7 linked regions of the Nothobranchius furzeri genome follow. The protein of the gene in region 3 purifies or fractionates together with the protein of the main gene of each other region. This does not show direct contact. Links are inferred from orthologs where the notes say so. Each region holds a gene or a part of one and is shown on either strand. Other genes may lie near its edges.

The links.
Region 1: the proteins of cullin-5 (region 3) and asb7 purify together in Homo sapiens (affinity purification with mass spectrometry; 6 studies listed by BioGRID and IntAct, counting the BioPlex papers as one, with this or other methods). This does not show direct contact. The link is inferred for Nothobranchius furzeri from reciprocal best matches to the Homo sapiens genes CUL5 and ASB7.
Region 2: the proteins of cullin-5 (region 3) and wsb1 purify together in Homo sapiens (affinity purification with mass spectrometry; 4 studies listed by BioGRID and IntAct, counting the BioPlex papers as one, with this or other methods). This does not show direct contact. The link is inferred for Nothobranchius furzeri from reciprocal best matches to the Homo sapiens genes CUL5 and WSB1.
Region 4: the proteins of cullin-5 (region 3) and cops8 purify together in Homo sapiens (affinity purification with mass spectrometry; 3 studies listed by BioGRID and IntAct, with this or other methods). This does not show direct contact. The link is inferred for Nothobranchius furzeri from reciprocal best matches to the Homo sapiens genes CUL5 and COPS8.
Region 5: the proteins of cullin-5 (region 3) and suppressor of cytokine signaling 6 purify together in Homo sapiens (affinity purification with mass spectrometry; 5 studies listed by BioGRID and IntAct, counting the BioPlex papers as one, with this or other methods). This does not show direct contact. The link is inferred for Nothobranchius furzeri from reciprocal best matches to the Homo sapiens genes CUL5 and SOCS6.
Region 6: the proteins of cullin-5 (region 3) and asb6 purify together in Homo sapiens (affinity purification with mass spectrometry; 6 studies listed by BioGRID and IntAct, counting the BioPlex papers as one, with this or other methods). This does not show direct contact. The link is inferred for Nothobranchius furzeri from reciprocal best matches to the Homo sapiens genes CUL5 and ASB6.
Region 7: the proteins of cullin-5 (region 3) and spsb3b purify together in Homo sapiens (affinity purification with mass spectrometry; 4 studies listed by BioGRID and IntAct, counting the BioPlex papers as one, with this or other methods). This does not show direct contact. The link is inferred for Nothobranchius furzeri from reciprocal best matches to the Homo sapiens genes CUL5 and SPSB3.

What each region holds. Positions count from the first base shown.
Region 1 is NC_091749.1:7,481,911-7,484,757, reverse strand, and holds part of asb7 (ankyrin repeat and SOCS box protein 7), read right to left. Parts: intron 1,993-2,847; coding exon 1,931-1,992; intron 664-1,930; coding exon 452-663; intron 1-451. UniProt on the Homo sapiens protein: Probable substrate-recognition component of a SCF-like ECS (Elongin-Cullin-SOCS-box protein) E3 ubiquitin-protein ligase complex which mediates the ubiquitination and subsequent proteasomal degradation of target proteins.
Region 2 is NC_091753.1:17,149,049-17,151,517, forward strand, and holds part of wsb1 (WD repeat and SOCS box-containing protein 1), read right to left. Parts: intron 1,601-2,469; coding exon 1,428-1,600; intron 996-1,427; coding exon 882-995; intron 1-881. UniProt on the Homo sapiens protein: Probable substrate-recognition component of a SCF-like ECS (Elongin-Cullin-SOCS-box protein) E3 ubiquitin ligase complex which mediates the ubiquitination and subsequent proteasomal degradation of target proteins.
Region 3 is NC_091750.1:28,001,917-28,005,416, forward strand, and holds part of cullin-5, read right to left. Parts: intron 188-3,500; coding exon 11-187; intron 1-10. UniProt on the Homo sapiens protein: Core component of multiple cullin-5-RING E3 ubiquitin-protein ligase complexes (ECS complexes, also named CRL5 complexes), which mediate the ubiquitination and subsequent proteasomal degradation of target proteins.
Region 4 is NC_091747.1:24,680,976-24,683,649, reverse strand, and holds the end of cops8 (COP9 signalosome complex subunit 8), read left to right. Parts: coding exon 1-49; intron 50-133; coding exon 134-196; intron 197-1,759; coding exon 1,760-1,839; 3' UTR 1,840-2,174; downstream 2,175-2,674. UniProt on the Homo sapiens protein: Component of the COP9 signalosome complex (CSN), a complex involved in various cellular and developmental processes.
Region 5 is NC_091747.1:53,422,716-53,427,009, reverse strand, and holds the start of suppressor of cytokine signaling 6, read right to left. Parts: upstream 2,801-4,294; 5' UTR 2,571-2,800; intron 2,164-2,570; 5' UTR 2,094-2,163; intron 134-2,093; 5' UTR 8-133; coding exon 1-7. UniProt on the Homo sapiens protein: SOCS family proteins form part of a classical negative feedback system that regulates cytokine signal transduction.
Region 6 is NC_091757.1:35,486,485-35,490,733, forward strand, and holds the start of asb6 (ankyrin repeat and SOCS box protein 6), read left to right. Parts: upstream 1-1,449; 5' UTR 1,450-1,520; exon of another isoform or gene 1,521-1,547; intron 1,548-1,891; 5' UTR 1,892-1,924; coding exon 1,925-2,034; intron 2,035-2,184; coding exon 2,185-2,369; intron 2,370-4,249. UniProt on the Homo sapiens protein: Probable substrate-recognition component of a SCF-like ECS (Elongin-Cullin-SOCS-box protein) E3 ubiquitin-protein ligase complex which mediates the ubiquitination and subsequent proteasomal degradation of target proteins.
Region 7 is NC_091756.1:32,878,185-32,882,428, forward strand, and holds the start of spsb3b (SPRY domain-containing SOCS box protein 3), read right to left. Parts: upstream 2,801-4,244; 5' UTR 2,716-2,800; intron 1,032-2,715; 5' UTR 968-1,031; coding exon 800-967; intron 365-799; coding exon 181-364; intron 1-180. Other genes in the region: cytosolic Fe-S cluster assembly factor nubp2, read left to right, coding at 3,315-3,330, 3,590-3,705.

The sequences.
Region 1 (2,847 bases), on a different chromosome or scaffold from region 3:
ACCTCGTTGTGTGCGCCCGGTTTTCTGCCTCACCTCGCTGAGGTGAAAATCAAACCGGTTTGAACATTTCTGCCTCACGTGGGGTAAAAACTCAATGTGTGCACACAGCGTGAGCTGCCAGCTGAGCTGAAATATTCTAATGGCCAATCAAAGAGTGTTCTCTGCTCACATGATTCCAAGATGGCAGCCCCCTGTTTTAAACGGAGACGGAGCTGGAAGCGGAAGAAATGCCTCTACTTTTTTTGTTGCGGAAAATATCAAATCGTATCTTGCCAAGCAAACGTCCTGGAATGACTGTTTGCTCTGCGGTTTGTTCTGGTGTGCGACAGGCTTTGGGATGTCTACAGCTACCTGCCCCACAGCTGTGAGACCACTCACTGGCTGCTACAGTTAGAAAAATCCAACATTACAAAAGCAGAATTTGAGTGGGCTGCCCGGCAAATATGATCACCTCCATGTTCCAGAAAAACCCGAACACATCGCTCTTTCCCTTTTGCAGCAGAGAAATGCAGCAAAGTCCAGCCGTTAGCGTCCCGTATCTGAGGAGAGTATCCTCGCTCCAGCATCCTCCTAACGGTGCACACATCCCCAGCAGCTACAGCAGCCTGGATCTGTAGTTCTTCGTGAAGATCAGGGTTCCCTCTGCAGTGATGGTTCAGCATCCTGCAGTATGTAGGAAATGTTCCGTGCTTGGAGTTAGGGGTGGGCAATATACACGATATCAGATAGAAACGATATAAAATTGGGTAATGGTAAGTTTTTGGCTCTACCGCGATATCACACGATGTCACTAAGATGTGCACCCGCGCCAACATTGGAACAACAGAATGGCAGTGACTGCAGGCATGTAGCGGGAGGAGGAGGAGCATTCTACACTTTTTGGACGTCTTTATTCTGCTGCCATATATTTTCCATATGAGGATTTTTTAAAGCATGTCATTTTGACATAATATATATATATATATATATATATATATATATATATATATATATATATATTGCAGTCATGATCGCACATGCTTCAGATTATATCGCAATATGGAGTTGAGGCCATATCGCCCAGCCCTATTTGGAGTATTCCATTACAAAAGTAATCAATTACTGTAATGCATTTTTCTTCCTGTAGCGCAGTAAGGCATTACAGAAAATAAAAACGACAGTATTTTACTTGGTACATATGTCAGCAACGCGCGTTAAGATGCATTTTTAACCCAGAATCAAGTGGTGGAGTTTCTTCACAGATCCAGTTTCCATCGATATTACATTATTTATGGACTCAGCGTACCTGGACTTCTTTTGAGCGGAGAGACTGCCGATCATTCAGGCGCTCCTGCGATTGTTCATGTCCGCTCAAGTTGTCTCGGTACTTTCTCTTTTATTCATGCTTGACACGCTCTGCCTCGAAGTTCAGAACCTGTGCCCCAGTGATTTCACCGTACTGCCGCGAGCGCACAGTGCGCATTTTGCCTTTTTTGCGATTGATAGATTCCTCAACTGCTTCGTTCAAAAGTAGCTCATATTGTGAAAAAGTAGACAATCCAGGAAGAAGTTTTTCAGTATTCACAGTTCCAGCTCAGCTAGATACCACCACCTTCCACTGGAGAGGTAATGAACTAATGGAGCGGCATGAGCTACGTTTAGATTGCCAAATCCTTACTTGCAGTTATCCTGGTGAGAATAACTTAAAAGTAATGTGAAAGTAATGTAATGCCTTACATTTAAAAATCAGTAATATTGTAATACGCATTGCTTTAGTAAGTAATGAATAATGTAGTTTTAAAGTAACTTATCCAACACTGGAAATGTTCATGTAAAAGCACCAACTAAACCTCAGTTAGTGAACTAACTGCTGTCTGGGTTTGAAGAAGCTGGAAACATTAAGACTTCTAGTATTAACTCGGATAACTGTCAGACTGAAACCAAAACATACCTTTTGACCAGCTGGAGAGACGAACTTCGCTTAGTCATTTTGCTGCTGCACTCGGTAAGACGCTGTAAAGTCACAAGACAACAGTTTAGCCTTACAGACACACACACACACACACACACACACACACACACACACACACACACACACACACACACACACATAGGCTAAGCAGACATTAAAACGGGTCAAGGGTGAAAAAGGTGTACATTCGGTGATGCCACATCAGTGAAAGTAGCACGCACACACACACAAACCCCGGCTGCATGTTTTCTACATGTCCCTGCTCAGACAAACCTGATTCTATATCAAGTTCAGATTCTTGTTTTACCTCAGAGTAGCAAAGCCTTTGTTTACCTTCTCCTAACCCAGGCGTCGGCAACCTGTTCCCGTCAAAGAGCCATTATTACCTGTTTCCCACAGTAAAGAAAACACTGGGAGCCACAGCAGAGAGCTGCTTTAACCGATCACAACAGGTGTCAGCAGCCAATGCCGTTCACTGGTGTCTGTCAGTTATCTTTCAACAGAAGATAATAAATAAAACTAGGTGTATAAAGTGGATCCAGAAGTTGTAGCCCGTCTCTGCCTACAGTATGTTGATATTTTTCACCCTGTTGGTGGTTTTACTGAGCAGGTGCCACTTTTGTCATACGTTTCTTTTTAAAACATGTTTAAACTGTTCAGAATACAAATCCAGGCTCTGTCACGTTTCATTGTTGGAATTAAACTTTGTAGGTGGGGAAGGTAAGATCAATGCGATCCATTTGTTTTCCCCTCGTTTACAGTGACGGAGATAACGGCGCAGTGCGCCTGGCTCTGGTGTTAATCAAGTTTAATTTGATCTCTTTGCAACAATTTTCACAAGAAAACAGAACAGTTAAAAGCAGGGCTTGTGTTGACCGGACAGTTCCCGTATCTGA
Region 2 (2,469 bases), on a different chromosome or scaffold from region 3:
TTACCCACACTAAAGGTTCAGCTGCAGCCCGACTTCAAGACTAGTAGCACATAGAATATAGTGTGTGTGTGTGTGTGTGTGTGTGTGTGTGTGTGTGTGTGTGTGTGTGTGTGTGTGTGTGTGTGTGTGTGTGTGTGTGTGTGTGTGTGTGTGTGTGTGTGTGTGTGTGTGTGTGTGTGTGTGTGTGTGTGTGTGTGTGTGTGTGTGTGTGTGTGTGTGTGTGTGTGTGTGTGTGTGTGTGTGTGTGTGTGTGTCACTGTTAATGTGACAATGCGAGTCAGGACTTGTGAACTAGGGTGCACTAGTAAACGTTTCAAACAACAGGGTTGCTTGGAGCTCTCTCTTTTTCTGGACGTAACTTGTTCCTGCAGCTTTAGTTTGTTCGTCTGCTCTAAGAAAATCTCAACTCCAAACCACCGTCTGCTTCTCTCCCAGCTGTTTACTTAATAACTTCTCTCGCTGGAGCAGAATTTGTGATGAATGACTAACATGTGACTGTGCTGTGACCCAGAACCAGACGAACAAGAGCCAAATGTTCTCTACTTCCATTTGAGAAGAGAGAGAGAGATAGTAGTCGGGGGTGGGACCGATACAGCTTTAAACCTGACCTGGTGATCTCATCTACGACTGAAACCTTGTTTCTGAGCTCGCAACACCAGTTCAAGTCACCGTGCCAGCTTTAACTGAAAACATCCTCAAGTTTATAGGAAAGTTGTGAAAATCCCAAGACCACCTGTAGGATCGAGACTGATGCAAGACAACAAGAGTAGAGTGGCAGCATCTAGAAAACATGAGTCAACAACCCAAACCCTCCTCCAGTCTGGTTACAGACCTGTAGTTTACACACCGCTTACGTTAAACCCAGACCCAGAAGCTCTCACCTGTCATCAGTAATACTAGCGATGTGGCGGCCATCCGGGCAGAAGCTCACACTGCGGACCCAGCGGTCGTTCGCCCCTCCAGCAAATATGGGTGACGGGGGAGGAAAGAGGTGGCTGGAGAGGGAGGACAGGTTAAATGCGTGTTTACTGGTTGAGTTGGTTCACCTGTCTGGACTCGTCATCCAAGAAAAACTTCAACCATCTCCAATCATTAACACGTTCATTAGAATCAGCATGTACTGCCCCTTTAAGAGGGTGACCTTGTGGCAAATAGGTGTGCTGTTTTGGAAACAGAAGCTGTTATGGAATGTATTCAGACAGGTTTAACCACGCAGGGGATATTACACACACACACACACACACACACACACACACACACACACACACACACACACACACACACACACACACACACACACACACACACACACACACACACACACACACACACACACACACACACACACACACACACACACACACACACACACACACACACACACACACACACACACACACACACACACACACACACACACGTCTCACCCCAGCTCCAGAAGGATGGTGGACTTGTGATGGTCCCACACAATGACCCTGGTGTCGTAGGAGGCTGTGGCCAACAGCGCCCCATCTGGTGAAAATTCACAAGACACCACATCATTGTGGTGCCCCTCCAGCTTCCGGATTAACATGTACTTATCCATGTTCCATAGGAACACCTGCAAGTTGAAGAAAGGTGATAAAATGAGAGGACAGCAGGTGGATTTACGTTCAACATTCACCTAAAAGCTAAACTAACTACAACTAGAGAATTGTGTCAGAATTAAACAGGTATGCTCAGTGTCTCTGGTGCTTTCTAACTGGGATCAAATGAAGAACATGCTACATAACCAGCAAGGCTACGTTAGGTGAACACGTGACATCTAATTTATCTGTAAGACTTAATCAGAACTACAGCATCCTATTTGGATCTACACATTTTAAACAAAATTCACTTAATTCTAGCATTATAACATAAAAAATCAAACTAAAAAAAGAGAGAAACAAGTAGTAACTTAAGATAACATAAATTACTCCACTGGATTCCCCTTTCAGAGTTTTAGTTCTCTGTGATTACATTAGGCTCAGCTCCAGCAGAAGCCTAGGAAGAGACAGATACTGCAAGAGAGAAGCATATTTTATGGCCAAAGGTCTCATACCCCTGGCAAAGTACACAAGTACATGTGCACACACACACGCACGCACGCACGCACACACACACACATAAATAATTGTTCCTAGAAGAGTTTTGTCACTTTGAAGTAACTTTTTTACTAGAGAACTACAGATTTACTCCTGCATGATAACTACAAACATCCAGTGGTTTATAGAAGATGACTACATTGATTTAGTGTTTTAGAAATATTCACATTAAATACTTTATTTACTTCATCGCTACAAGCTACAACAATCCTATGTTCTTAGTAAACACACCAGACTGGTGATTTCCACACAGCTGGCATGTGGAAGCTAAAACGCAGCTACGGAGGAAGGGCCGTGTGCCGCTGCTGGTTAAGTAACGCTGGCTGTGCTTTTAGGAGTCAGACTA
Region 3 (3,500 bases):
GACTCCTCACTTTGCGGACAATGCTGTCCTCAACGTTGGACTTCTTGTTGCATCCTTGCTTTCCCATCAAAGTGATCTCCAGCTGGCAGAAGGGTTTGGGCAGGATGTCACACTGCGTAAAAAACTTCCTCCACTCCACGATGTAGGCTTTTAGCAGCGCCGTGTCATCCTGGTGACTCAGCACCCGCTGAGGAAAACGTGACAAAGCAAACCGCACACACACAGGATTAATCTTAACTCTGCGGAACATCTACTTATGTTATAAAAACATTGTGATTGTTTAATAATATCAACAATCACAGCAGGACACAGATTAAATCTTAAAATGAAACTTCAGTATTCTGAGTATGAGCAACATAAACATCAAGGATTTTGTAGAAGAGCCGATGTCTCTGAAGGCACATCCTTTGGTCTTTACTCTAAACTCCTAAAGAGCAAGTCACCCCCTACCAGATCCTTACTCAACTCCCGCTTCCTGTTTGAAAAATGCAACAAATGCTGTTGCCTAGCAGACCGAGAGGGCGGAGCCGCTAACAAATACACGCACACAGGCTCTCAACGGCATTGTGACATCATATGGTACCAGCTAGCGTTCTAGGGTACCTCTTAGCCAATAGCGATGGCAGATTTAAATTCAAATGCAGTGCAGAGTTTTTACCTGACAACGGCACAACACTGACAGTTTTAGGTACAAAATAAAAATGTTAGCTAAGATGCACTAAAGTGCAAAACTATTGACTGCACGTGTCTGCAGCACGATTAGACACGCATGTATATAGTTTATCAGAAAAAAAAGTTGATTTGGAGTAGGGTTGTCACGGTAACCGGTATAGCGGTAAACCCCGGTAAAAAAGTTGACAATAAAAATAACCGTCCTGTTTTTTAAAGACTAAATTATCTCGGTGGGTTTACCGTGGTCGCGGTTTAGGCGCGGTGACCCTTACCAGCCACCGTCGCTTCTGCTGAAGTTCCCGCGCACACGCACTTTTTAGTTTGCAACCAAACCTTTGAAGCTGAAATAATGGCCGAAGGAGCAGACGGCAGCGCCCAGGACATCCATCAGCCCTCAAAGAAGACTAAATCGGAAGTATGGGCATATTTTGGATTTCTGAAAAATGCTGAGGGACAGTTAATAGAAGACGGCTATCCCGTTTGCAGAACGTGCAGGAAACAAGTGTCTGCAAAAGGCAGCAACACTTCGAATCTGATGGCACATCTGCGTGACCATCACCCACGTCTCCACAGCCAGTGCAAGGTAAGTTAACATTAGCAATTTAGCTTAAATGCATGACGTGAGGACTTTTGGTTGAGGGAGAATACAACGAGTCACTATATACTGCAGCCGCAGCGCCCTCTGCCAGCATTTAAACCGTGTCACGGACACCTCCATATCAAAATGATGTTATGCATTATGGCTCCCATGGCGCAGATGAGTTGGTCGCCACTGCTCACCCGATTATTATGAATTTAATAATGGTTACTGCTTGATGACATTTTCCCTAATCTGCAATGATATGATATTTCATATTAACTTGAAGGACCCAAACCGAGGACGATAATATTTTCCTGATATAGTTTTTTTTAGTTGTCTGAAACTGTAACACATTTCTGGCACTATAATTAGTACATTTAATACCCTCGAAGTGATCAACAACGCATAGTTATAATGAAATATTGGAAATGATGGGAAATATGCCTTGAACTTCCTTTAAAATGCCCTGTGAGATCATACATTTTTTGCCAATCCTTTTCTTTGGAGTTAGCAAAAAAAGGTATAGGCAAACACATCGTATGTACAGTGGGGCAAAAAAGTATTTAGTCAGCCACCGATTGTTAAGTTCTCCCACTTAAAATGATGACAGAGGTCAGTAATTTACATCATAGGTACACTTCAACTGTGAGAGACAGAATGTGAAAAAAAATCCATGAATTCACATGGCAGGATTTTTAAAGAATTTATTTGTAAATCAGGGTGGAAAATAAGTATTTGGTCAATAACAAAAATCAACTAAATACTTTGTAATATAACCTTTGTTGGCAATAACAGAGGTCAAACGATTACTATAGGTCTTTACCAGGTTTGCACACACAGTAGCTGGTATTTTGGCCCATTCCTCCATGCAGATCTTCTCGAGAGCAGTGATGTTTTGGGGCTGTCGCCGAGCAACACGGACTTTCAACTCCCTCCACAGATTTTCTATGGGGTTGAGGTCTGGAGACTGGCTAGGCCACTCCAGGACTTTCAAATGCTTCTTACGGAGCCACTCCTTTGTTGCCCGGGCGGTGTGTTTGGGATCATTGTCGTGTTGGAAGACCCAGCCACGTTTCATCTTCAAAGATCTCACTGATGGAAGGAGGTTTTGGCTCAGAATCTCACGATACATGGCCCCATTCATTCTGTCCTCAACACGGATCAGTCTTCCTGTCCCCTTAGCAGAAAAACAGCCCCAAAGCATGATCAGTGTATCTGCAGGTTTAAGGGAGCCAAATTTAAGACTTTTTAAGACCTTTTTTAAGGCCACTTTGACCAAATTTAAGCTTGTCGTCGTCTTCCTCCGCTTATCCGGGTCCGGGTCATGGGGGCAGCATCCCAACTAGGGAGCTCCAGACCGTCCTCTCCCCGGCCAACTCCACCAGCTCCTCCGGCAGGACCCCAAGGCGTTCCCGGACCAGATTGGAGATGTAACCTCTCCAACGTGTCCTGGGTCGGCCCGGGGGCCTCCTGCCGGCAGGACATGCCCGAAACACCTCCCCAGGGAGGTGTCCAGGAGGCATCCTGACCAGATGCCCAAACCACCTCAACTGACTCCTTTCGATCCAGATCCAAATTTAAGCTATTTTTAAATTAATTTTAAGCTATAATTTACAGCTATTACCTGGAACCGGTGCTAACCACGTCGCAAACATGGGATTAGCCATCCAGTTACCATTAAACTTGCACTTCTCCATGGCGCAAGCTCCCACTAGCTTAACCAGCTAACGTGCTCATCTAAAAATAGTCCCCTTTCACAACCAACTGAATGTGTACGGTTCCACTTACGCCAACATCGTACACAAAAAAATGCTGAAATTCACGAAAATGTCATAGAAATAAAATAATCTAGTTTATTGGGTCTTTGGTAATTTAAAACCTTTGCAAACTGTATTTAAGGATTATTTGTCATTTTTAAGGATTTTCAAGGCCTTAAATTTGGAAAAGTAAATTTAAGACTTTTTAAGACTTTTTAAGGACCCGCGGATACCCTGATGATGTTCCCACCCCCATGCTTCACAGTAGGTATGGTGTTCTTGGGATGCAACTCAGTATTCTTCTTCCTCCAAACACGACGAGTTGAGTTTATACCAAAAAGTTCTACTTTGGTTTCTTCTGACCACATGACATTCTCCCAATCCTCTGCTGGATCATCCATGTGCTCTCTGGCAAACTTCAGACGGGCCTGGACATGCACTGGCTTCAGCAGCGGAACACGTCTGGCACTGCAGGATTTGATTCCCTGCCG
Region 4 (2,674 bases), on a different chromosome or scaffold from region 3:
GAGGACTTCGCTGCCTTCGTGGGCTACTCGGTGGATGAGGCAGTAAAAGGTGAGCTCATGTTTACACCTGTGTTGTTTTAACAGTGATCCACACGTGTGTTTAATTCTGTTTACTGATGTTTTCTTTGTGAAGGAGTGTTGAGTCAAGGCTGGCAGGCAGATCCCACCACCAGGATGGTCATGCCCAAGAAGCCAGGTAGGGGGCGCTGCTGTCTTAGTCAATCTGTCTTCTTCTCCCTTGTAATCCTTGTGAGAGATTTATGGATTTTTCCCTTTAGAATGTTTAATTTTTCAGAACTTTCCAACATTTTGTCTCCTAGTTCAGATAATTTATCAAGATTTAAAAACTGTTAGAAGTTAGACGGATTCGTCCTCACTAGGGTGTAGGGAGGAGGAATTAGTCATGTACATACACAGGTTACACACACACGTGTGTGTACACATACACACGCACGCACACACACATAAACACACACACGCACACACATGTGTACACAAACACACACACGCATGCACACATACACGCACACACACACACGCACACACATGCACACACAAACACATGCGCACACACATACACATGCATGCACACACACGCACACAAACACATACACACACGCATGCACACACACATACACACGCATGCACTCACACACACATGCACACACACAGTCTCCAAGAAAATTTTGACTTTGATTTTCAGTTTCAAAATAAATTGTTATAATCAAATTTAACTCATTCACTGCCAATACTGTGTGGGCATCAGGACGAGCCCCCGCACCGTGAGAACAAACATCTCAGCTCTAAAGCTGATCTTCATCTGCATACGTCACACGTCACGTGATCAGGAAGCAGAACATCCATGTGTTAGGAGATCGTTTTGGGCCCTTGCTGTAAAAAAAGTGAGGCACGAACTGGAAAAGCTTCTGATCACAATTCAACAACGATTTATGAAAGAACGGATAACGCTCGAAACGCGCAAATTCTCCCTCATGTAACTCTGCTCCAACACACCTGATTCCAGTCGGCAGGTGATTAACAGGCTTCTGCAGAGCCTGATGAGCTGCTGCAGGTGATTCAAGCACTGAATCAGCCAACCCTGACCGAGCACGTGACCGAGCACTAAAACGTGCCGGTACTGCCCTTCGAGGCGTAGAATTGAATACCCCAGCTTTATAGTTTATAGAAAAGGTTTGTAGGTAAAACTGCTGCGAGGAATTCTGGGAAGTTTTTTACGGCTAAAGATGGAAGTTAGCGTTTGAGCTTAAAGAATTTCTTTGTTACACAGCAACCTTATTTTGTGAAAGGTTTGATGTCACAATCTCCTTCTGTGTGTGAGTAGGACTTGTGAGACCGTAGTTCTTTCACAAAAGGCATTCTGGGATTTGTAGGTTGTTGCATCTTTCCTGTTTTATTTCACTTTTTTAAAACTTTTATTTTGACATTTATTTTCCTCACAATAAGTTTTTTATTTCTCATATTTTTACAATTTTTTAAATCAGACTTTAGACATTTTTGATAGTTTGTTTAACATTTAGACTTTATTTAGATCCCAGCTGATCTCTTAGTGGCGTGTTTTTAGCGCTGCCTCTAGCGTGCTCTGTGGTTTTCTATGTGAGGTCCCTGCCTGCCCGTGTGGTACCAGACAGGTTAAACGGCTGGTTGTAACTGGAGCCTGAACATGTGGGCCGTGGCTGCAGAGTTGAAACCAAAGAGCGATGGGATGTTATCACCCCTCCACCTCCGTCTGTTCCAACAGATCCTCCTCCGGTCGCCCTGGTTCCAAACGAGCAGCAGTTGGCCAGACTCACCGACTATGTGGCCTTCCTGGAGAACTGAAGCTTCAGCTGCAGAGTTTCACCTGTTTGGTACCGAAGAAGACGGGTTTGGACGGACTCTTGGTCCATCCTGAAAGACCTGGCTCTCCCGGTGGAGAATGTTCTGGTTCACTTGGAGTTTATCGAGTCGGAGACTCGTTTTTCTCCTCTCCCTCTTGTCATGATGTGTACATTTGGGTCTGAGCTCAAAGTGTTTCTGACTGTTTTTGTTTCCAGCATAATAAACTCGTCCCTCACAAATGCTTTATTCAGGTTCAGCAGCTAAAAGTTAGCAGGAGTCCTTCCTGACCTCGTATTTAAGTTGCTGTTGATGAATAAATATTCTGCTGTTTCTAACCACTGACTGGTCGTGTCTCGCTCGGCTCAGCACGTTGACTTCACTGACACAAATGAGTCACATACAAGGCCATAAATGTGTTGGTAAGTGGATATTGGAGCTAATTATAAAACAAAATCTGATGAAGCATTGGTGTAAATACATCTGGCCACCGGCTGCTCATCACTGCCACATAGAAGGAAAATCTGTATTTTTAGTCCTCTTCAGACCGTTTGTAAGCATCGTGTCAGAGCTGGGAGAAGATGTGGTTTAGTGTTCATAACTCTAGTTACCGCCTGATATGTTTTTATAATCGCACATTTAAATGCGGACGATTTCCTTCTGCATGGATCCTTCTTAGAAATACGATAAGTAAAATGTTTTCTCGTTTATCTCCTGGTATAAATCCGTTTGATTCTAACAGCAGATCTGATCCAGGATCTGTCTGTGCTGTTCTCACAAATAGGAAGTCACTCGTGTTGAGACATGTTTTACAGCAGCTTGCCTCCAGATCTGAACT
Region 5 (4,294 bases), on a different chromosome or scaffold from region 3:
TCTTCATTCTGACAGGCCCTCCGAAGTGGGGGCATGGGACGGCTCTCCTGGTATCCTGATGAAAGCACTATCCACAACGTCCTCCCATCAGGCCACATGGAACAAGTCATCCATACAGTGGCGCCATAAATCCCTGGTGAGAGAAAAAGACAAAAGACACTCTGTTAAGAGTAGGTTCAGGGTGAAAGATGAAAGTTTTAAAATATATTTAAGGCAAGATTTGTCGTTTATATAGTTTGACTTTTGCATCTGGCTGGGAAAAAATCTGAGCTCTCGCTTCACCTTTCCTAATTTTGTAAACAGTTTATTATGTGATATCATATTGAAAGATAAGATAAAAATACTTTTACCTCAGGACTTGTTGCAATTATTACCCATTGGCTACTCTATGCAGCTACCTGTTACCTTTACAAGTGTTGGTGAATAAAAAAGGACCTCAGCCCGGCTTGTTTGGCAGGAGATGATTGGACACGCCTAAAGGAATCGCAGCACTTATCAAACTTCAGACTATGAAATAAATCTGATTTATTGTGACAATATTTTTTCAGTGTACAGTGCTTTTCAATCCATCCATCTGTTAAATTTAGTTAATGAGTTTTGATGTGAATATTTGAACTTACTGAGAACAGTTAACCTAAAATAATCAGGTTGCTAATGTGTTTGAAAAAGATGACTAGAACAAAAATTAGATTAGCTCTAGGAATGTTTGATATCGGCGTTTTCACCATTGTCCGTTACACCAATACAGTCAACCATATGCCATATATACAAGGTCTCCCAACAAAGAAGGAAAAACAATCATTTAAGGTAAATAACATCACATATCTTCTATCATGCATACTTAAACTTTAAACATTACCATTGCAAAATATGACAACTACTTCGATTTAAGTTGGGCAATGGCCAGCTGAATCACATTTTCCCTGAGATAATCCTGACAAATGCACACAACAAATTTCTACTTCTTCAAAGTTGTGCCAAACAAACAAAAAGATTGCTAAACCTCAGACCTGTCATATTTTGACATTTTGAATGAGGAAAAGTAGCTGAAGAGTTTGCTATATAATGCGTGCATGACATCTAAACTCATTAAAAGAGTAAAAACCGATAGATAATTTACAATATTGTATTTCAATGTCAACAGCAGTTGATAATATTCGACATCCATATTTAGGACCATTCAAAAGTACAAGCACTGATCAAAACTCCAAACAGTGAAATATTTGATCACCTGGTTAAAAGACAATTACTAAAAATGAAACTGGCAAGCTGGTTTTTGGTCATGCAGTGATTCCTGGACGCACATATGTCAAGTAATTATTGCATCTTTCATGCAAACATGAAATTACTTCAATTTTTCTATTATGCTGACGTAAAAGATTCATCAGAAATTAAAAACACTGCACCCTAACCAAGAAAAGTTCAACAAAATGGTTGTAAACTGATATAAATTATCACCTCAAATGCAAAATGGTATTTTTAAAATTTATTTACCTGTTTTAGAAGCTTTTAAAACACAATAACAGCAGCTCAAACATTTTCAGAGATGTTTCAAAGGATCCCACATGACAGCGCAAGAGCATCTTGTGACTATTACACAAGAAATTATGTTCAGAAGTTCAACCACAGTTGAAGAAATATGCAGCAATGCCGCTGTCTTGCATGTTTATTTTTTTTTAATTAATTTAGAGGCATTCATACATAATATTTAGCACCAGTTGACCTAATCCGCTGTTCTCACCAAGACAAGATGCTAGTTGTACAGGCAGAATCTTTGTATGTAAATGGAGAAATTTGAGAAAATTCTAGATCTTTTGGTTGATCTCAGCTCACCACTGACCTTATATACATCCCATACTGGCTCAGCAATACAGACAGATATGTAAACATAACTAAACGTTCCTATTAAAGCCACATGACAACTACAGAGCCAAATATGTCACACGCAAATGTCCTAAAGACAAATTAATTCCACAGTTTATCTGACACTTTGCCCTAATAAAGCAGGGCCATAGTACTGAGGGACATCTGGCACATGAAGCTCCTAACCGAAGCTGCTTGATAATCAAGAGGGCTGCAATCTGATTACTCACCATTATCTGGGAGAAAATGGTGACTCAGTTGGTTGGGTCAAATTCCACCTCCTCCACCTTTCATTTGCTGCTGGGAAAAAAGTGCCAGTTCATTTAAAATATATGTAGTTTAGATTTAAAACATGCTCCTGTGGAAATATGCACACAATAATCATAAAAACGTTGTCAATAAGCCAAAGTTGAGGAGGTCTGACTTGACCTAGAAAGGCCTAGGGACACATGCTTTTAGCTTAGCTCCACTCGTTACATTGTTGCTTTCATTGCACTTATACAGAAGCATTAATAAATGTTCCAACAAATATTCCATCAGCACTGGTATTTTTTTTTCTTAAACAAGCAGTTCTCTGCCACAAAGCCGCTTATTATAACAGATTTCTAGCTAGGCGACTGCTAAGCTAAAACTGTCAAGCTAACCCACTACAAAAGTGATTTTTATTCTCTAAACACGTACAAAAAGTGCAGGACACTTTCGCTTACCTGGCCACTTTACGCTGTACTGCAGGGAGAATAAACCAAATACTTTATTCTGGACTCTTTTAAAAACACGTTCGTATAAAGATTCGCTCCTGGACGATTGTTGGCTAATGTTAGCCTAGCTTCGTTGGCGTTTTATGTGGAAAACATTAGCGCCGCTGCCATTTAAGTCCGCTTTTGTACCAAAAACAAAAATATAAAAGAGTCAGCATGGGTGAATTTTTAGTTTCCTTTCATCACGGGAGTATTTAGACGACTACAGTTGCTCATTAATGTGACATCTTTTAATCTAGGCTGGCTAACTCTTTGTAGCTTTCGGCCCCTTCCTTTCTTCCTTTGTTGCCTGTTGAATTGTGGGAGCTGAATCAGAGGACGCGTTCACATGCAGCGAATCAGCTGCAGCGTTCACATATCACATCTAAAAACAAACACATGCATTCATCTAAAAAAAAAGCCTTAACATCATCTTAAAAAGAATAACAATACACTTGTTTGTTTGCAATTTGTTGATAAGTAGATATGCAACCTAATTATAAAGTGATGATAATGTAAAATATGCTTACAGTTTTGTGAACATCCACATAAGTTTTGTTGAAACTTTAAGTTCATTTGGTTTCAGTACTGCTTCTTTCAATAGGAACCAAGTATGGAAGCCCATTCCCACCACTTTGATTACAAATGTATACTCCTCCTCATGATTTAATTATCTCATAATAATCAGAGACTATCTCCTTATTAGGAGATTAGGGCTTGTGATCTCATGTGATTTTGAGTTGCATTCTGAGATGTGCGCAAACATGTTAGTGGCCTTACGAATTACATGTTAAAATCCCAAAAAGGATGTGGAATATACAGGGATGCGTTAAATAAAGAAGTCTGAGACAGGTATGTGGACAAAATCAGCAGTATAAACAGTTTGTATCCATGTGAAAGACCCAAGAATGGAGCACCATGACTGTATGATATCCAAAACGAACCTCAAGGCTGATCATAGACCTGGAATCCCATCCATCCATCCGTCCCTTTTTGTCCGTTTATCCGGAGTCCATATTTTCAAAAGTATTTCAATTTTCACAACGTCCTGGTCTCCTCCCTGTCATGGTTAAGCAAAAGGATCGTTAGACAAATACATTATATATGCAAAACATAAACACAAACAGATTTTCAACACAAAGAAATTTGTTCTTCATGCTGTTTTCATCTAATATTAAAAGTCTTGGTTGATGAATAATAAAGCTGCAGCCACAGCTTGATAACTAATTTCCCACTTCCCTGTGTTTCTTTTCCTCTACTGATGTCACCAGGGGGGGTTTGGTGCAAAGCAAACACAAGCACCACACCACATAGGATGGTAGCAGAAGAAAGCTTAGCAAAAAGTGGTTTCTGTACATCTGAAGAACGTTTATCTGCCAATAACAAAGACTCATGTGTGTTTTGGAATGTTTTAATGCAAAATATTACTTCAAGCTAAATTGCTAATGCTAATTGTTTTTGCCTAAATCTCTCTCTCTCTCTCTCTCTCTCTCTCTCTCTCTCTCTCTCTCTCTCTCTCTCTCTCTCTCACTCTCACTCTCTCTCTATCTATTTGTGTGTGTGTGTGTGTGTGTGTGTGTGCACATGCATGTACACTGGATGAATTCTATTGGAAGTCCATAGATCTGTATAACATTTACACCTACAATTGATAAATTTTTGGCGCCAGCCTAATTCAAGATGGCTGATTTGCA
Region 6 (4,249 bases), on a different chromosome or scaffold from region 3:
AACTGCATCCAAAGTTTCAAAGAACAGTCGTTTTTAGAGTTTTACTTTAAGATTTTTTGATTGGCATCTTTCCTTATTTTTTCTACAGCTATTCAAATCAAAGTTGTCCTAATATCATAAGCAAAGAAACATTAAAGTGGGTTTCCTAGAGCAGATCCTTTGCGTCTCTACATACCCGAGGCAGTCTGACAAGAACAACATATGTTTTGTTCAAATTTGCTGCCGTTAGCTCACACAGAAAACACAATGTGCATGTTTCAAAAGTGACATCTTGTATGAGAGCCCTTCTCAGTAGTTTTCAAAGACAGCCATCTGTTACCAACTCAGGGGTTCGTTTGCTGAGCAGGACAAAAGCAAACGTTAGAAAACTGATGCTGTCAATGAAATTAAGTAGTAAAAATTGGAATTCCTGCTGCTGGACAATAATGTACCTTATGGAGATACAAATAATTAAAACAAAAAGTACCACCAGATGACTGCAGTAGTGAAAAACAAACAAAGAACATTTCTTGGTCAAAACTGACATGTCAGTTACTAACTTATCAGTGATTTGATTGCTGAATGAAAGTGGTATGTTAAATGTTAATGGTACTGTTGTGTTTGGGGAGATGAATGTAAGCTGCAAAAACTGTATTAGGGAGGAGAAATCTAACTTAATATTGGAAAAAAAAATGGGTGAAATTCAAACACAAATATTATCTAAATCACAGAAACAAAAACCAGCCTATTACATTTTACCACACTAATGTTTTAAATGCCTGTTAATCATTCAAAAGAAACTTTTAAAGACCATCTTGAGCAGTTTGAAACTCCATCACCCACAGTTTAATAATGTGTCTCCAAAGTGAAAGAGACAGCATTTTACATGTTCATTCAAGTGAAATAACATTTGAAGGGTTTTAAAGCAAATTATACCAAATTATATTAGGCCATCTTTAGACTAGTGAAAATTATTTATTGTTAAAAAAAATGTTTACAGTGTTCAATTGTGTCCCGACAATAACTTTTACACATGTGAGTTGCTAGTATCAAATTTGAATAGAGAACAAGTAATTTTACTAAACATTTCTCCATATGGAAGTGGAATTAATAGCTTTGCAATTTTTTTTATCATCTTTCCTTCAAAGCCGACACCAAGTTCTACATTACAAATAAAACGTATCATAACAGCTTCTTTTTCTTTGCTTGTGTTTAATCAAATTAGCCTAATCGTCTGTTTCATCAGTGTCAGCAACATCTTTCCAAAGTTAGTGCTCAGAAACATAAATTCAACAGATCTATAGGTTCTTAGTTTGCTTCCTTTTTTATTACTAGAATGCATTGTTCCCAATTGAACGCATAGCCTTTTAGATATAAAACAACATGATTTTTATTTTATTTTATTTTATTTTATTTTATTTTATTTTATTTTATTTTACACTGCAAACCGGAACTTTAGTCATGCAGTTTAAATGGGAAGGCAATCACCGTGGGACCACAGGGGTGTTCATGTTAACTTCCTGTTTTGAAATCAAAGGCTCGTAAGTACCAGTCTGCACTGTATTATTGTAAGAGTTTTATTCATCCATTAAGTAAATTCACTTTTTTTGACAAAGATAATGTATAAATAATTAAAGCTAATAATTTAATCAGTGAAGCTTCAATTATCTGTAGTTTTAGATGTCTTATGAACGAATGAGGTAAATATGTTCACGGGGAGATAACAAAATCGACCTACTTTCTATGAACAGATAGCGTTTATTTAAGACGTTTTATTCACAATTTTTACATAATTTCTGCTCTGTTACATACTCATGGAGGTCCGCTGAACTCACGTTGTTTTTAATCCCGCTCTGTAAGTCGCGCTGACACATCTCCTTTTTGATTTTCTTTTGGATTCTGGCCACGCTAGAGTTTTGTTGGAGTGTGTACAAGTGTAAAAACCATGCCTTTCCTCCACGGGTTCCGGAGGATCATTTTTGAGTATCAGCCGCTTGTAAATGCTGTCATGCGTGTTGTTGGACTTGAGGAAGAAGATGGCAGTCAAGACACCAGGTAATTCTGCTAAAAAAAAAACAACAACATTACATTAACGGGTAATTTTTTTTATATCATGATCAGTTTCTGTATCGTAACAACCACTGCATTTAAAATATAAATTGATTTTTTTTAAAGCTTTGGATGAGACATTTACTTATCTTTCAGTTGTGCCAAAAGTCCCGAGGATGAGTCCAGTAGAAGCAGCTCTTTGGTGGAGCTTCTGGAACAAGAGTCCCAGTCTGAAGTGTTTTTGGAAGGCATCAGCTATGCTCTGTTTAAAGTGGCCGAGCGGGGACTTGAGTATGCCGCAGAAATCCTTCTACAATATGGAGCTGATATCAACTTTGAAGGTGAGTCATCCTTGGATAGTGTGTCCAAGTTTGCAAACACTCCAGGAAAAAGGAGGATTGCTCATTTAGGGATGTGCGGTAATGCACAAATATATCAAAAACTAAATTTACTGAAAATGTTTATTGAGACATAGATGCTCTTTGGTTGTTGTTACAATATTACCTTGTAGTAAGTGTTAAATGTGTGTTTTACGTGTAGATAACTTCTTCTCTTCATCTCATTGCTGCATGTCTCTGATATGGGTTTTTCTATTGCAGAATCAGATGCATGTATGTAAAGGTCATGTTTAGCCGATGGCTGATCGTTGGTCCTGATTCTTTGGGCTAATTTTCATGGCTGATATTTAGATGTTTTCCTCCTTATTTGCAAGCTAAAATTTTGTTAATAACAAGAATGGGTGTACATTTCTGAACCTAAATCAGTTTTTGAACACTGAATTTTACCAACCCATCAATTTTAATTTTGTGCATTGCACAGCATTGAAACATTTCATTATAAAACTGGTAAATCAAAATAAATGTCAGTTGTTTTAGAGCATTTATTAAGCAGATGGTTTTAGGAAATTTAAATTTAAGTAAAATAGTAAATGAATAAAATTTTAGAGTTTAAACAATTTAATAAAAGTGTTTAAAAACTCAATAATAAATGCTGCTAAAAACACAATAAGAACCTGCTGAAACACCAGCAATGTCATCAAAAATGCATTCAAACTTTTTGTATTTTACTAACTTGTTTTAACTTCATTTAAAGTATGAATGAAACATTTTTATGCACTTGACTTTGCAGCACATCATAGCAACAGACCCCTCATTTCAGAGGTTGGATATTCCTATCTGGACACATCAGTAATTTCATCAGTAAGCGTTTTTCTAAATGAGTTACTGACACAAAATGTCCATCAGTCACTTTCAACTCAAGTGTTTAATTCATTCAAAGACATCTAAACTTTTAAGTTCATAAATTATGTGTAATAAAGTTACACATCACTTACATATAACTTACCCCGCTTACACAAATAACACAGGGAAAAAGTATTAAATACATGAAGGAGGGTAACAATGTGCAAAATGGCAAAGAAAGCCAGGAGACCACCTGAAATTACAGTCAGTATTAAGAGTGAAACCTTGCCACTTTTGCTTCCAATGTGCAGTAAGTTTAACCCCTACTGCACAGTGGAAGCGTCAGTGGTGCGAAACGGCACTGCTTCAAATAAAATCCATTATTTTCAATGGAGTGTAACAAAGCAGCCGCGGTGTGGCAATTTTCAGACATGTCCCAGAAGCAGCATGTCGCACCGTCATAGTAGGATCGGGTTCTATTTTTGTGGTGAGTCGCTTCTGGGATGCATCAATTATCGCAGTTAACATAGGGCTAGACAGGAAATCAGTTTCAGTGTAAAATCCCCAGTAATTTTCTAAATAAAAGTATTGCAGTGAAGCAATTACATATTTATGAAGCTTACGTGTGACCTAACGGTTTATTTACTCAAAGCATCATTCCCAAAGTGCAGCGGTGTGTTTTCGTGGCTTTTATCCTGGCAGTGGAGAGGAACAACATAATTTATGACATCAAACAGCGATAACGACGTGATTTCCTTCTTTTTTTGTTCAATAGTGGATTGTATGCTGGTGAAGGTTCTCGGTCATCCAGGTCATGGTAATCCAAAAAGGTTCAAATGAGGGCAACTGGACTTCTTTGGTTTCTCAAAGATGTTTCACTTCTCATCTGAGGAGCTTTGTCAATTCTAACTGGAATATGGGAGAGTCAAAATTATAAGCTGTAGCTGTCTGTTGTTATTTAACGAGCCAAAACTACTCTGGGTACCCCTCCTCTTATGGTGGATTGCATTAACAAACCGTAACCTTTAAAGTCTCGAGGG
Region 7 (4,244 bases), on a different chromosome or scaffold from region 3:
AGACTTGGTGGAGTTTTTCTAATACATATGAAAACTATATATTTAACATTAAAAGACAAACCCGTTTTTTGTGCAGAAAGAAACATGACTGTTATGTAGAGCAGACGTCCACAAAGCATCACAAGCTTCCACAGTATGGTCAGACTGTGAATGTCTGTTCTTTCACAAAGCTGTCCTCACCCTGATCCTCCTCCCCACAGGAGCAGTCACTGTCGACCCTGTAGCCTCGCCCGACCTCGTCCTGCGGCACACAGTGGCAGAACGACTCCCCCGTCACCGGAGCTGTGCACGGTAGAGCCTCCAGCTTGGGTGTGGTGTGACATTTGTCCACCTCCACCTCCACTTCCAAGTCCAAGTCACTAAACTGTTTCACACAAAAAGCACATTTTAAGTCCTCAGATGTAGCCGTGCTTGATCCTTAGTAGCGAGGAGAGGGACTGGTTCTAGAATGTGAGGTTTGTTTTGAACATTTTTGTAATCCAACCAACAGCGGGGAGGCTTTTGTGGACAGCTTCTGCCAGAGATTGTACCCGGTAGAGAGGCTGAGATGAGAAAACCATCATTTAAATTCCTAAACGTGTGCGTCATGTGCTAACCTCTGATTAATTTGTGTTTTCTCCAAAAGGTTTCTACTTGTGTGTGTGTGTGTGTGATTTCCTCTGTTTACTTGTGGAGCACATCTATGATTTCACCTGTTCTAGCGACAAAACACTAGATTTAATCACTTCTTATCATCCAGAGGAACCAATTTCTTGCTCATCTAAGTGATATTTGTGATTTTCTGCACCTCTAGTCTCACCTGTGTCTCTGTCTGGCTCTGACACTCTTCGCCGTCAGTGGATTGGACATCTGTCTCCTGTCTCAGGTCACTCCAGGCCACGTGTCGAGCTCTGCTGTTTCTGCCTCTTCTCAGCATGGCAGCTCTACGGACAGCCGGCACAAGACTTGGTGACCAGCTGTCAAACATTCTGGAGGCTGTGCACTTCTTAAGGTCAGCGGTGATCTAGATCAGTGGTTCCCAAACATTTCCACTTCAGACCCAGAAAATAGCAGTTGTGAGCCCAGATATTTTTGATTTCACGACACAAAAATGCTTAAAAAGTCAAATAATTCAGGGCATAATAAAAACTGCTTCAGCTCATGTTCACTTACATCCATTTATGAGACGTTAGTGGAGTTTTTGTAACAATTATGCTAGAAATATAGCTTCAGTAATCGTTTTTCAGTTTTATTTTGACTTCTCGAAATCACCTCGAGACTGCCTGTATAGCTCTTGGTGACCCACAGTAGGGTCCTGACCCCAACTTTGGGAACCACTGAAAGATCCTAGAAAACTGTGAAATAAATCAAATTAGAATGTTTTTAGGTAGCTTTGGCTTTTAAAATCTTTTTGTACTTTTCAGTTGTGTCCGCCCACATTTTTCTTTATATTTCAAAATCCTGTCAGGCAGCTCAAAATGGGTCGGTTTGAAAATCTGTTAGTTTTGGTGCCTGGAAAGAGTCATGCTGAAGCTGCATGACATGCCAGTCAACATGAACGATCTGTGTGTCCTGGATCTCCTGCCATCTGCTCCCATATAGCACAGCTAGCAACAGGAAGTCCTTCCACACACGCTAAAACCTTTAAATCCAGTGCTTTCTACTGGAAGTCACTTGACCCAACATATAAGTCAGAAATCACAGAAAAGACCAATCTTATTCAACAAACTGCCACATTTTACACTAGAGGTGTAACAGCTGGGTTATTTAGTGAAAAGAAAAAACAGGAATGGCATCATTTTTAGACGTCTGAGTCTAATATCAATTTTTAAAAATCTTAGCTAATTTACTAAATGCAGAGTTCTGTTTATCTGATAACCAACCTCTATGTTGCATAGATTTAACAGATGTAATAGATTCATTTTAAAACGCTGAACTAGGGATGGACAATATATCGACATCAACAAATCGGTATTGGTTCGATAAATAAAACCGGGCCGATATTAACAACCGATAGTTTTTCCATCTTGTCTCCATTTGTTTGCCTGTTTCAGAGGGTGATGGGGTGACGTGTAATTGTTTAGTCGTGTGAACAGTGATTGTAATCATCTCAGAAGTGTAAATGTGTGTGGTGTGTGTACATAATAATGTAAATTCAGCTTTAATAATTTTCATTTTATACAAAATTGCTGATTTTAGAAGCGTTGGTGTCAGTATATCGGTTATCGGCCATAACAAGGATATTAATATCGGATATTGGTATCGGCCCTAAAATGTCATATCGGCGCATACACTGACCCCATTCTGTCCCTCGACCTGATGGAAATATTTCTGTTAATTCCAGTCCTGAACACAGCAGCTGGTTGCTGCTTCACAAACAGGTGCAGTGGATGGCTGCCCATTAATTCAGATTAGTCAGTCTAGAGCAAGTCTCATTTTAATTGAGCCTTACCCCATATCTTCTGAATGCATCAGCTGGAGGTTTGAGTATGGACAGAACACTGGTGAGTCAGTGTGCTCAAGGATATAGGAAATAAATTTAATAAACTCAAAGGCAGCTTTATTATAACAACTAAGACACAAACATTTAAGATGTTGTAGTCACTTTTAACTGTCCCGCTGCAGAATCGTACCTTCTAGTCACAACTTCACAGCTGCAGCGAGTTCTGCAAAAGTTCTGCTTCATCCTAAAACACTTTAAAGCACATGGTAACATTTGTGAGTCTATGCTCTTACCTTAAACTGGTCTTCTTATGCAGTCTAGCAGTAGCTCATTCGCCTTTCTGTGCGTCTGTGTGACAGCTGCAGTGAGCACCCTGCCCCACTTCCACACAGGATAGACGTAAACACAACCTTTGTGTTCCCATTGGATGAAACCTTTGTGGGGGAGGAGTTTGTGTACATCTTATTATTGCTTACGTCTGCTGCTCAATGACGCATCATGTGAGATGTGCTGACCTGAACATATTTTAACAACAAAACAACACTTTATACACAACAAAACGTGATATAAAATAATTTCTAAACGTATAATTTGTGTTATCCTTTGATGAATCAGCTGCAAAAGAATTTCAAATAAAATCGTGCTGAAAACTAAGAAAAAGTATCAGTTGGTGTGTAATCTACGGAAGCGTATTACTCTTCTTCCAACCATCGAATCTTAAATATTTTACAGTATGAGACGCACCTGAATCTATCATTTTCAAAACTAGTTTCTTATTGGTTGCATTTTTTTAAAGGCGGGGCCAAGATGCAGCATGAGCTGTGTGATTGGTGCGTGACTACGTACAGGAAGTGTTCTGTTACCGAACTCGTGTTAGCCCTAAATCTAAAATATGGAACAGAATAATGGTAGGTGGAGGATGTTTATCAAATAGAAACAAAATAAGTCCGGATTTCTTCTGAAATTTGTCAATTCTTACATTATCTGTTTAATTTTATGCCTAAAAAAGTCGAAGTATCTTATTAGCTTCAGCTAACTAGAGCTCCTTAAGATTAACTTGCTCTTAATTATCAAAGTGAAATGAAAGAGTTTATTGTTGTTATTATTTCGTCTCAGTTCATTGTTTCTTGTCATTGTGACGTCTTGGTTTTCTTTGCCTCACGTCAGACGGGAACTTGTCCCAGGTTCGTCATGTTGTTCTGGTGTTATCAGGGAAGGGAGGCGTGGGGAAGAGCACCATCACCACAGAGTTAGCCCTGGCTCTCAGACATGCTGACAAAAAGGTGAGCATATATCACATCTGTTTTTTTTTTTTTTTAACTCTGGTGACTCAGAGATGTCCTCATCTCATGGTTAGAGCAGCAAGTCATACCTTTCAAACATAAGTGTTCATGTCACCACCAATAACTTGTTTTCACCAATGCATTTCTCTCCAGGGGTGTCCCACAAATCTCCATACTTGGTCCTGTTCTTTTTCCACGGATTTTATCACTTTTACGTTTAAACATTGGGCACAGTAATTGCATACCGCTTTTTTAAACGCTGCTCGGTGTGCAGTTTTAATTATCAATTGTTTTTTATTACATGTTTTTACTTTTCTGAAGTGGTAGTGTGTGGGATGTACGTGACCCCCCCAATGCCTCCGCTCACCTGTAGCCCTGGCTGTGACAGCTGTCTCAACCTCACTCGAAGAGTCCTTGAACTAGAGCAGAGGATTACAACTGTTCAGCAGACCCAGGAAAATACAAGCAACTCTGTTGTTATCCTGGGCCGGACCTTCTCCACTGCCACTAGCGCCCAACTGGCTGATACGGTTCCCCTC